2 linked regions of the Xenopus tropicalis genome follow. The main gene of each other region encodes a partner of the protein of the gene in region 2 in a complex. Links are inferred from orthologs where the notes say so. Each region holds a gene or a part of one and is shown on either strand. Other genes may lie near its edges.

Region 1 (5,650 bases), about 8.3 Mb from region 2:
AACTGTACAAAAACAGGCACTAAAGCAAATAAAAATCCCAAGGATAACTACATATTTTGACATCAGTGGCAGGTCAACTGAGTGTTCAGTAACATGATTTTTTTTTCTTTTGCCCCTGCACACATATAGGTCTGCAATTGTAAAAAAATAAATAAATTACCTCTTGCCTGTACTGAATACCACAGGTACCTTTCTGCCCATGACGGCTAGCAAACTTATCTCCAATTTGAGGAATCCGAACTGAACGCACCTGAAGATGACAAGCACAAAAACAAACTTTATATTGTAAGATATAATTATAAAACACAATATATAAAGTACAACAATTATAGTCTATATTTTAGCATTTAAATCTACAATGTAAATATATTTCTCAGTGAAAGGTTTATATATACACATTCCCATTAACTAAGATCGAGAAAGCATCTTAGTTCCATTTCCAGCAATAGGCTGATGTGAAGCTGAAAACACAGCACATCTGCACTGGTGTGAGGGGTGTATATATATATTTGTCAGCAAGCTGCACACCATGAGAAGAGATGATACCCGGGTGCCAGTGCAGTAAATGTACATATACAGGGTTGGAAATGACAGCACACGCGGGTTTTTCACAAGACTTGCAAGTCTTTTTCGGCAATTTCCTGAAATCGCCCCGCCGCGTCTGCCATCCCGCCGGCGACTTACATGTTTGCCGGTGGGATGGCAGGGGTAGGCAACTCGGGGAGATTAGTCGCCCGCGAACAGGGAGTTTTGCTGCGGGCGACTAATCTCCCCGTGTGCCAGAGCCCTTAAAGATGTTAAGGTGGCCATACACGCACCGATATTATCGTATGAAACCTCGTTTCGTACGATAATCGGTGCGTGTATGGCATGTCGGCGAGTCGACTGATATCGCAGGAAGCTGCTGATATCGGACGACTCGCCGATCGGACCAGTTTGAAAATTTTGATCGGGCGCCATAGAAGGCGCCTGACCAAAATTCTCCCTTCAGTGCTGAATCGGCAGAAGGAGGTAGAAATCCTATTGTTTCTACCTCCTTACCTGCCGATTCAGCCCTGAATGGTGTGTGGCGGATCTTACGATGTTTCGTGCGACCGATGGTCTTACGAAACATCGTCAGATCGCCACGTGTATGGCCACCTTAAGGCTTTATTCAGTCCGACGTTTCAGCTCCTAGCTGGAGCTTTCCATGTTTACATATCAAAGTGCATGTGCCTGGGGAGGGATGAAAGTTAGTGAGAGCTCAGAGCTGTTCGCAATTAGATTGGGATTATGTTACAGTACATATATCTGCAGCGCATCAGTAGTGCAACTTCCTTCCTGTAATCTGTTTGCTGATGGGCTGAGGCACTTCCTTCTGTGCGTGTGTATGTGTGTGTGTGTGTGTGTAATCCTATAAGTGTGTAAGATCCTATAAGAGCCAGACAGATACTGCTTTCAATAGCAACTGAATGCTTACAAATACATTACTTTAAAGGGATAAAGACACCAGAAATTAAATCTTTTTTTTTTTACATTATAAAACATTGTCTTTGCATGTTATTCATAATTTTGCCTTGAAAGTATTTGTCCGATAATTTTACATTACCTGAGGGTGAGAAAATAGTCAGGTTGGCAAAACAAACAGGTTTAGGAACTTCATGTAACAACTAGAAAGGGAAGTTTAAGAACAAACTTTATGTTGGTTTGAAAAACATGTTACTGAATTAGATCTGATTGGCTGTTGTTGGCTCCACCCAGTTTTTCTAACCTTGGACCACAGTCAAAGTAAAAGACTGTGCAAGGTTTGGGGCCACGGTTTTAATAGTGTCAGAATGGCAGCAATTGATATTTCCCCACTGAAAGTCAATGAATGACATCTATTTGGTAGTTCATGGCTCTGCCCACTTTTTCTAACCGTGAACCATAGTTGCCCAGTGGCTCCACCCATTTTTTAATTCTACCAGATATTGTATATCATGACCTAGATGAATGAGAATCTTCATAGACATAAGGAAGAGGAAACACCCCGGGGTGGTGCGGTTTTTCTCCTAATAAAAGCACCACCAGCCCGGGGTAAAAAGTAAGCTATTAAAGTTACTGGGGGGTGCCTAAAATTTGGCACCCCCCCCCCCCCAGTGATTTTTACCTTTCCTTCTTGTTTAAATGTAAAACAATGACATTTAATGGATGAAATCTGATTGGCTGTTGGTGGCTCCATCCACTTTTACTAACTTTGACCTGCAGTCCACCAGTGACCAACTGTGAAGAGTTTGGGGACCCTGGAGTTATTACTGTGAGAGTGCCAGCAGGTTAAATTCCCCTATTGAAAGTTAATGGGTGAAATCCGATTGGCTGTTCATAGCTTTGCCCACTTTTGGGCATCCAACAAATATGTTTTCATTCAGGTTGAACCCATGACTATGGGTTCAAGTTTGGTTAGTGTAGTCTTAAAGCTCTTAGATTGGCAGCAATTTAAATAAGAAAAATAAGATTAAGGAGCGGAAGAATAAACTGAAATCAAAGAACACTACTATACTACTTACAAAAGCAGGCCTATCCACGAAAAATGATCAACATGACCTATAGATAACTTTTTATGTACATTAATATTTTGAAACTTATTTTTCCATGTTAGAACCACTTTAAAACCAATGTTTATGTATATTGGAAAATTGCTTTTTTTACAATACAAAAAATTTTAAAAAATGGTTTGCGTAAAGGACCACTTTAAAGATGCCAAGAGTAGACCCATTCAGAGTTTAGTATTTTCCAAAATATACATTACTTGAAAACTTGCATTACTTGAAAACTTACCCTAATTTTACAAAACTTGTATCCCTCTTGATTAAGTGTCACCATGACCTGATCAACAATTCCAGTTTCACTAGTACGTAGGAAAGTGCTACAGTCTCTCTTCGTGTAACGGCGATTAGTACTTTCTAACTCGTCTTCATTTTCAGGCAGAGTTACTGTCTTGCCAATAATTACGTCATCCCCTGACACACGTACACCAGGTGCTATCAAGCCATCATCATCCAATTTATCATAAATAGCATGCCTCATCCCTGTGGGGGTTGGGGGGGAGGAATTAAAAAAAAAAACCAAAAAAAAACTATAAATATCTTGAGAAATATAGGTGAAAATCTGATATGGAATTGATTGCATTTATTATTTAAAAAGTAGTCATAGCACTATTATATTCGTTATGCAATCAGTAGAGATTTAAAATCACAAGAATAACGCACATTCGGTTAACCCCTTGCAGAGTAAATGGGGCAATGAACTATGTACCCTACATTTCAGGCACTGTGTTGGCCTGGGTGCAGACACAACAAAGTGAATATGTATTTTTACATGCGTCTGCAACACAATGCCTCTTTGTACAGTCCTGCAGTAGAGTGTTTGTGTCTCAGTTTGAGCTTATGCGCAGACCAAACAGCTTTATGTGGCAGAACCTTTAAACAAAATCACAATTTACTACTTTAAAGGAGAACTAAAGCTTAACAAATAGGTAGGCAAGAATTATTGCACATTATGCTTCGGGACTCTGTAACAGTCCCAGGTGACTACAAACCTTTAAAGCATTAAAGATATGTGAATCCAAATATATCCCCAGTAGCTCCCAGTCATATTTTCTGCCATTTTAGAACACATCCTCTGTGCTGATGTTTGATACCTAAGCTTAGGGGCTAAGTTAGATTCTCATTACATGACAGCTCAGAAACCAGTGCAATTTATATCAGAATTTAGTAATTGGCCCTGCAGCATCAGCTTCTTTGTCACGTGAACCTCATTTTCTGCTTGATGATTTGCATTAAATCCAAGATGACGACCCCCTGCTGTGCACAACATTGAAGGCCTGCATTATTACGGTTGTAGGGATTCTGAAACTTTAGGCTGCTGCATTAAGTTCATTATATAAATATGAAATTTCAACGCATGTTGTTTTTAGGGTTTCGTTCTCCTTTAAAAACAAAATCCTAGAACACCTACCAAAACAAAGAAGTGGTGAAAATAGTACTCCAGCTAGGTGCTTCAATACACTACTTGTTCTTCAGTTTTATGGTTACTCTGTGATTTTATTTAGAGCATAGAAGAAAACATTAATCTTTTTATATTATCAGTGGCATAATTAAGTTTATAGCCTGGGTGTGCTGCTGAACCTGGGTTTGCGCCCCCATGAACCCATTGCGAAGAGTGAGACTAAGTTGCAGTTCTGCTCTGGGACTTGACACATGTCTAAAACACTGTTTTTAGTAATGAGGATGGGAAGTTGTGCAAAGAGGAAGAGGGCCTGGTGTGAATTTTGCACTGGGACCTGTAGGGGTTAGTTAGCTCAGTAATTTGGATATTTTTGATTTTTCTAAAGGTTTTATGAAACTTCTTATCCAAAAGGTAAAAATATTCAAATGCAGATATCTTACCCTGACACGTTTCACGAGTTGGTTTCTCAAAAACTTCTTCCTGGTCAAATCCCTTTTTGGACTCTTGTTCTTTGTATGAACGGTAGAACACAGACCTGTTTAGAGCAAAATATTATTCTCTGCCCCTTTTTTCAATGGTGAAATGCAGCCACATTAACCCAAAATGTATATGGCATCCTCAAATAAATTATCTTCCACTGTTCCTTTATTTTGATTTCTCAAGAGAATAATTACCAGAAAATGTCTAGGCATGTAAAATCAATCTGGGGTAATTTTATCAAGTCAAGAGCATGTACTCATGGGTGTTTTTGCCCTGTGTTTTCCCTGTAGTGGAGCACACCTACAGGGAACCCAACATCCTCCCAAGGTGAATTTATACTCTACTCCCCATATTTTGCATTAAAGGAGAAAAAAAGGTAAAAATCACTGGAGGTGCCAAATGTTTTACAAGACGGAAGAAACAACTTGCTTGTAGCTACGCAGGGCTGGTGCGGTTTTCTCCTACCAGGAGGACCAGCCTGGGGTAGCTGCAGTGAGTGTTTCCTCTTCCTTCTGAATCCCGGGGCCGGCGTAAGCATTAAAGTGGACCTGTCACCCTAAGGAATAATTACAAATTGTTTTCTATTGTGTTTGTCAAGCAAAATAAACTTCAATTACACTATATACATTTTTTTAAACTTATTTCCTTCAGCACTGGAATTCACCATTGCAGAAAACAGGCAGGCTCAATTTTGTGGACACTGTTATTAAGGCAAGCTGTGCATCCTGCCAAAATCTTGTTTCTGTGCCAGTATGGGGGGGACCTGATACCCATGTCCATGCACTGGTTACAAAACTAGATGGTGAGGAGGGAGGGGGAATGTGAGAAGTGCAGTGACATCTAAGTTCTGAGCTGAAAATGAAAGTAACTGTCTGCCCCACCCCTATGCCTAAGGCATAGAGGCGGGTCAGGCAATATATGATTGGCAGCTGGGGCTTTTAAATGCTTATATAATGGGTATAGATGTGTTAATAAAAAATAACTTTGGTTACATGTTTAATTTGAAAAGGGCTTTTACTATACAGCTTTTTATGTCTGGGTGACAGGTCCACTTTAAAGTTCGGCTTTTCACTCTACTGCACAAGTGCAAGCGTGCGAAGACAGAAGAAGGAATAGGAGACACTCGTTTGCAGGTACCCCGGAGCCCAGGGTAAAAGGTAAGCCATTTCAATCCCCCCCAGTTATTTTTACCTTTCCTTCTCCT
Region 2 (6,203 bases):
TGCCATTAATAAAAAAAATCCAATATTAGCACAATGCACAGCTGACATCTAATCATACCAATGCAGTATAAAGTACAAGTTTGGCATCTGTTGTTTTGAATGATGCACCATGCCTTAAGGCTAATAAGAATTCCAACCAATATGGATTTTTGAGAGCTCTTTATTACTTAAAAAAAAACTAGTTAGAAAAACATTTAAATTGTTCATTTCACTTTGACACTATAAGAAATAGCTCTGTCATATTTTAGTTCTTGATAACAGATTTCTGCATAATAGGAGTACAATGTGACTTTAGAAACTAGCTGCAAGAACCAACCAATGAAAGGGTTATAGGACTGTGGGATTAGAAAATAGCAAAACACGCAAGTGCATTACTAGACAATAGTGATGAGCGAATCTGTACCATTTCGCTTTGCTGAAAAATCCACATAACTGCAAAAAAATTGTGAAACCGGGAAAAATTGGGAAATGCATTGAAGTCAACACATGACAAATTTTACGTGTGATAAATTGTACACGCAAATTGTTTTTTTCTTTACTCCAAATGCATTTTTTATATCAGTGTTATTTCCATCTCTGTAACAGATGCATCGATTGTTCCGCAGTTTCGCAAAAATATTTGCCGAAATGCAGAACTTCCCTGCGAATCCATGCCTGGTGAAGAAATTCACTAGATAAATAAAAGTATATACAAATAAAGAACATAAAACTGGATTACAGTTTAGTGAAAAGACAATCTGAAAATCTAAGAGATTGCACTAAAGATAATATTTGGGATGAATGCATATTGTGCAACTCTCCTATATACCCCTGTTGATTGGGTCTTTGTTAAACAAGGGTTTTATTTCAGATCAGACAGAATTCTTCAAATGTTTATCCAGGCACCCTAGTTCAATCATGAATGGTCTAACTGTATGAAAAAACTTCCAAAAGTTGTTTTTTAGGGTTTTATATTGTTACACGAGACTGCCCAGCTATGTACAATATACAATGAAACTTTTACATCCCTTGATTTTACGCTTTTCTGCACTTTACAATGTTTTTTTGCGATATCACCAATATATAATGCATTTGCGTGATTTTACACCATTTTTTCTTGTCCCCTACAAGATGGGGGGTTCTATTGCAGTGCTGTCCTGTTAATTGTCTCCTATAAGTAAAACCCGTTTGGTTCCTTTGTAAGCAATTAATCTCAGAAAGGAGACTGGAAAGTCCATCAATAACTGACTGGCTCACCGATTACAACGTTTTAATGGAAAATTTGATACAATCAATGCAGGTTGCCACAAAGACCATCCCACAAACAGGTGCTGAAGCACATGCTTACGTAACATGTTACATTTAGGGATACTGTAACAATTGTCAATTCTCTAAGTTTTTGGCGAGAAGTCCTAATGTTGCAAACCTAAAACCATACACTTGGGGGCACATTTACAAAGGCACGAACGCTCGAGCGTTCATGCGAACGCTCCGAGCGTATTTTTGCCGATTTTTTCGGGCGTCCGCACGACTTTTTCGTACGCCGCACGACTTTTTCGTACGCCGCACGACTTTTTCGTACGCCGCACAACTTTTTCGTACAGCGCACAACTTTTTCGTACAGCGCACAACTTTTTCGGACGTTTGCACGAAAAAATCGGAAAGGTTTTACCGCTGTTTACAATTGTTCGGTACGAAAATTTCGTGACTTTCGGATCGCCAATACGATATTATCGTGACTAATAAATTTTCGTTTCCAATACGATTTTTTCCCTTTCGTGATTCGGATTCGTGGATTAGTAAATGTGCCCCTTGGATTAGCAGGCTAAATCAGATAGAAAAACACTGCTCTGCGGGTATTCTGCAGGTATTTGACTTAATGCAGAACTTCCCAGTATAATAAATCTGCATAAAAAAAAAAAAAAAACTTGCAATGCATATCTTGCATATCTTCTACACTGAAAAATTTACCTTTTAATCAATCTGAAAAATTCTCATATGTGTGATACTTAGTCATATGGTCAGCCAAAAGTAATTTTATCATGAAAATGTTAAAGGCATGCCCAAAAACCAGAACAAACAAAAAAAAAAAATTTCACCAGTAATATAAGAAAACAATCTGTATAAAATTGTGGTTTACACCTGATCAGAGGTTTCAGTGCAAAGTTTAGCAATAGGAAATATGGGGAATAGATATGCCACTGCTTGATATATTAGAGAAACTAAATGTAAAAAAAATTAACCTCTTTTGTTTAGATATATTCTTTTTTTTAGAAATCTGAACAAAAAAAAAAAAGCTATGAAAGTGGGTAGATGTATTTAAATGGGCCTTTACAAAAAATTTATTTGTAGCATCAACCCAACATGAACTCTCATCTGAACCGCTAGAGCAGCATCCAACATTTTAGGAGTATTTTAAAAAGGTGCATTAAATTGCACAATACATCCACAATTGTTCTGTATCAAAATACATGTATGGAATCTATTATCTGTAATGGTTAGGACCTGGGGAACATAGAGCCCCATGTCCTAAGTCCACTAATGACTCTCATAATATAGCTGTCCCTACTATTATGGATCTACCACCATGTTGGTGGTAATAGACACAGAGTTGAAGGCATTATTTTTCTTTCTGCAAATGTTAACATGTCCAGATTTTGAAAAATGTTTATGCATTTATGGGTGTTGCTTCTATTGGTGAGTTTGAATTTGCTACTGGGAGTTTCACTTTAATGATGCAATTTCTCCACATTTGGAATATGTTGTCATGATTTTAATGGACATTGAAACTGCAATTATTTTGAAGTTTCAATGTCCATTGCTCCTGCATCAATCTTTTGAAACGCTCTTAGCTGGTTCATGCCAATTTAAAATTAATGTACTGAAGTGCTGACTGTCAGACCGCTTTTAGATCTGACACATACAGCTAACTGTAATGTTTTTTCTTTAAATTGTGAATTATTAACTTTATACATAATGTTCTTTTTTATTTTGTGTTTGCTTTATTTTTCCCACTCACAAACATACAGTAGCAGAATGTTTACAGCAAAAGATTTAACAAAAACTTCAGTCAAGTGAATCCTAAGGCCCACTTACAGATGCAAGAAGAAATGCAAAGAACTAGGTTTATCATAAAATTACATTGACATAAAGAAAGGCACTAGTGATGAGCGAAATTTTCCCCATTAAAAAAAACATCTATAGACTCCAACGGTGGAGAAAATTACAAGAGAAAAAGTTGTGTGGTAAAAAATAGTGCAGTAGCTGTGAAAAAACGCCAATTGACATAGGGGGTGTGGTTGCAAAAATGGGCGTGGTCAAAAAATGTGGCATTTCTTTTTGTCCCTCTTTCCATTTTCAAAAAGTTGGGAGGTATGCTTTAACAATATGTCTTCACCTTTTTAATACAACAATATTTAGCCCTTGGGCTTCACTACAGCATCATTTTGATTTGTGCCCCAACACAAAAGTACAGTGTGCACAGTAAGAATTGTTCTGCAGATTAATAAAAGCTGGGAATAAGAAATTAATCATTCATTGGGGTTACTGACCTAAGCTTGGCTTGGATCCCGAAGTGCCACTAGGTTCAAGTTTGGCTCTCTTTTTCTTTGAAGACTCTGAAGAAGCACTTGGACGTTTTTCCACAGCTGGTGTGGTCAAGGCTCGCTTTTTAAAGAGCTCCCTGTCTCTTAGTAGGGCTGGATCCATGGTACTGTAAATAAAACAATAAATAAAAAATGAATTAGCCTTGTACAGGTATCGGACCCTTTACCCGGAAACCCATTATCCAGAAAGTTCGGAATTACGGAAAGGCCATCTCCCATAGACTCCATTTTAACCAAATAATTCACATTTTTAAAAATGATTTCCACCAAGCTTACTTTTATATGTACCACATCTAATGCAGTAATAAAATAATATAGTACTCAGAAAGAATGGTTTAAAATAATCATATTTTTTCAACACATTCTTACATATTTTGCCTATATTGGAAACATATAATTTAAAATATCCATTAGGCATTTAGATTCAGTTCAGCAGAACCCAAAAGTGGCTATAAAGCTTTGGACAACAGAACATTTTGTTCACAAATTATGATTTTTTGATTTCTCAAATTAGGGTTTGGTGCATTCAGTGCAAGCCTAGTATTCATTGCCTTCGTGCTGGTGTTGTTACAAACATAACTTTTTATAAAGCAAAGAGGTTTACATATTTGCATACTGGCACAATGGCATATGTTGCAAATATCTGTGTATAATCAAATACATGTTCCTTTAACAATTTTTACAATACAGGTATGGCACCTGTTATCCAGAATGCTCGGGGCCTGGGGGTTTTCCGGATATGGGATCTTTTCCATAATTTGGATCTCCATAACTTAAGTCTGCTAAAAATCATTTAAATATGAAATAAACCTAATAGACTTGTTTTAAGGATTATTTATATCTTAGTTGGGATCAAGTACAAGGTTCTGTTTTATTTTTACAGCAAAAAGGAAATCATTTTTAAAAATTTGAATTATTTGATTATAATGGAGTCTATTGCAGATGGCCTTTCCGTAATTCGGAACTGTCTGGATAACGGGTTTCCGGAATAAGGGATCCCATACCTGTACTAAATAGAAGATGATTATTTTTTTTTTTAGTGGGGAATTTTAGCCACTTTGCCTATTTTATTTAAGACATTTACTTAAGACACTGACCAAACCACCCTAATAGCCATTTATAATAATATATAGAATACAAATAAAATAAAAAAAAATTTAATGCCTTCTACTACATTTTTGAAGGCAAACTGTCCCTTTCACATGTTATATGTTATATATATATATATATATATATATATATATCTTTGTGGAAAAAAGTATGAATATTTTCTACAATTTGTTATAAAGGCAGATAGTCTTTTTAATTTGTTATATCTCTGTTGATGTATCCCTGTGGAATAAAAGTATGAAATAGGGCTAAAGTCCACAAGTGATTTTGTCGAATGGTGTCAGATCAATAAAATGCATTCGACAAGTCAGATGTAGTCACGTGGGTCAAAATATGATAGGACTGATACAAAAATCTCATTTGTTAACTATATAGAAAATATTGTCATGCAAGACAATAAGCCTGTCATAAGGGAACACTGCATCCAACAAAATAAAAACTGATGGTGTTAGAAAGACTTTTGGATGTTGATCGGAAAACATCCGATTTAATCTTATGCAACATTACATTACAGCCTGTGGAGATCAGATTTTGATCAAAATCTTGTGTATGTAGATAACGATTTGCCACTGTTATATATACATTTTATTGCCCATGATTTGCTTATAAAACAGCAAAATTGGTTTACATAAACTGTTTGGAGTATAAATGGACCAGAAAATTTTAAAGGGATTGTTTACTTTCCACACACTTTTTTTAGTTTAGATATTTACAAATAGTACACCAGCAACTAGTTAGTTTCTTTTTTTATTTTTGATCTTATAATATAAACTAATTTTCCTTCCTCTGGCAATTCAGACTATCAGCTCAGTAAGTCAGATGCAGACTCTTTTACAATTTGCTCCATTAGTTGACACATTTCTCAGCAGCATCAGAGAACTTCGACCCGTATATTATAATCAAGCTCAGAAAGTATGCTCAGTTGTAAAGGTAGCCATGAATTCAGCAGCGATATCTGCTAATAATCGGCCAGGTGTAGATCGGGGAGGCTTGATTTTTCTGCCGGATCAAGGGATACATGAGCTCATTTATACGGTCCTTGCTCTGACTTTTTGTATACCCTTCATTGTAATGCAATCTTTGGTTCTAGGGCCAAATGATTGCATTATCATATCACCCACCCATGATGGGAATATCACCCACCCATGATGGGAATATCACCCACCCATGATGGGCATATCAAGGAAAAGATTTGAATTACGTGTTAGATGATTGGGTCTGGGACTGAGGCAGGGGATATTTCCAAAGGTAAAGAATGTACTCAAGCCTTCTTAAGGATCACACAGCCAGCTCTCTGCTACTGGAGACATTAAGCAAAGTCAGATTGTCACTGGTGGTAAGTTTTTCCAGGGTGAGGCATGTACTAAAAAAAAAAAAAAAAAAAATCTGGGCCATTTTTTTTTTTAGTAATACTGTCATTTTCCAAAGGCTTTCAAAGGAACATGTCATTATCACTTTAAAAATATTTCACTGTCCCAATATTAGTCAGAACATGCATCAAGCGCTAAA

The links.
Region 1: gtf2e2 (region 2) and polr2b share a complex: the UniProt entries of both Homo sapiens proteins name them as parts of the TBP-based Pol II pre-initiation complex. The link is inferred for Xenopus tropicalis from reciprocal best matches to the Homo sapiens genes GTF2E2 and POLR2B.

What each region holds. Positions count from the first base shown.
Region 1 is NC_030677.2:92,083,841-92,089,490, reverse strand, and holds part of polr2b (DNA-directed RNA polymerase II subunit RPB2), read right to left. Parts: intron 4,502-5,650; coding exon 4,407-4,501; intron 3,048-4,406; coding exon 2,797-3,047; intron 251-2,796; coding exon 161-250; intron 1-160. UniProt on the Homo sapiens protein: Catalytic core component of RNA polymerase II (Pol II), a DNA-dependent RNA polymerase which synthesizes mRNA precursors and many functional non-coding RNAs using the four ribonucleoside triphosphates as substrates.
Region 2 is NC_030677.2:83,788,995-83,795,197, reverse strand, and holds the start of gtf2e2 (transcription initiation factor IIE subunit beta), read right to left. Parts: upstream 3,692-6,203; 5' UTR 3,688-3,691; coding exon 3,531-3,687; intron 1-3,530. UniProt on the Homo sapiens protein: Recruits TFIIH to the initiation complex and stimulates the RNA polymerase II C-terminal domain kinase and DNA-dependent ATPase activities of TFIIH. Both TFIIH and TFIIE are required for promoter clearance by RNA polymerase.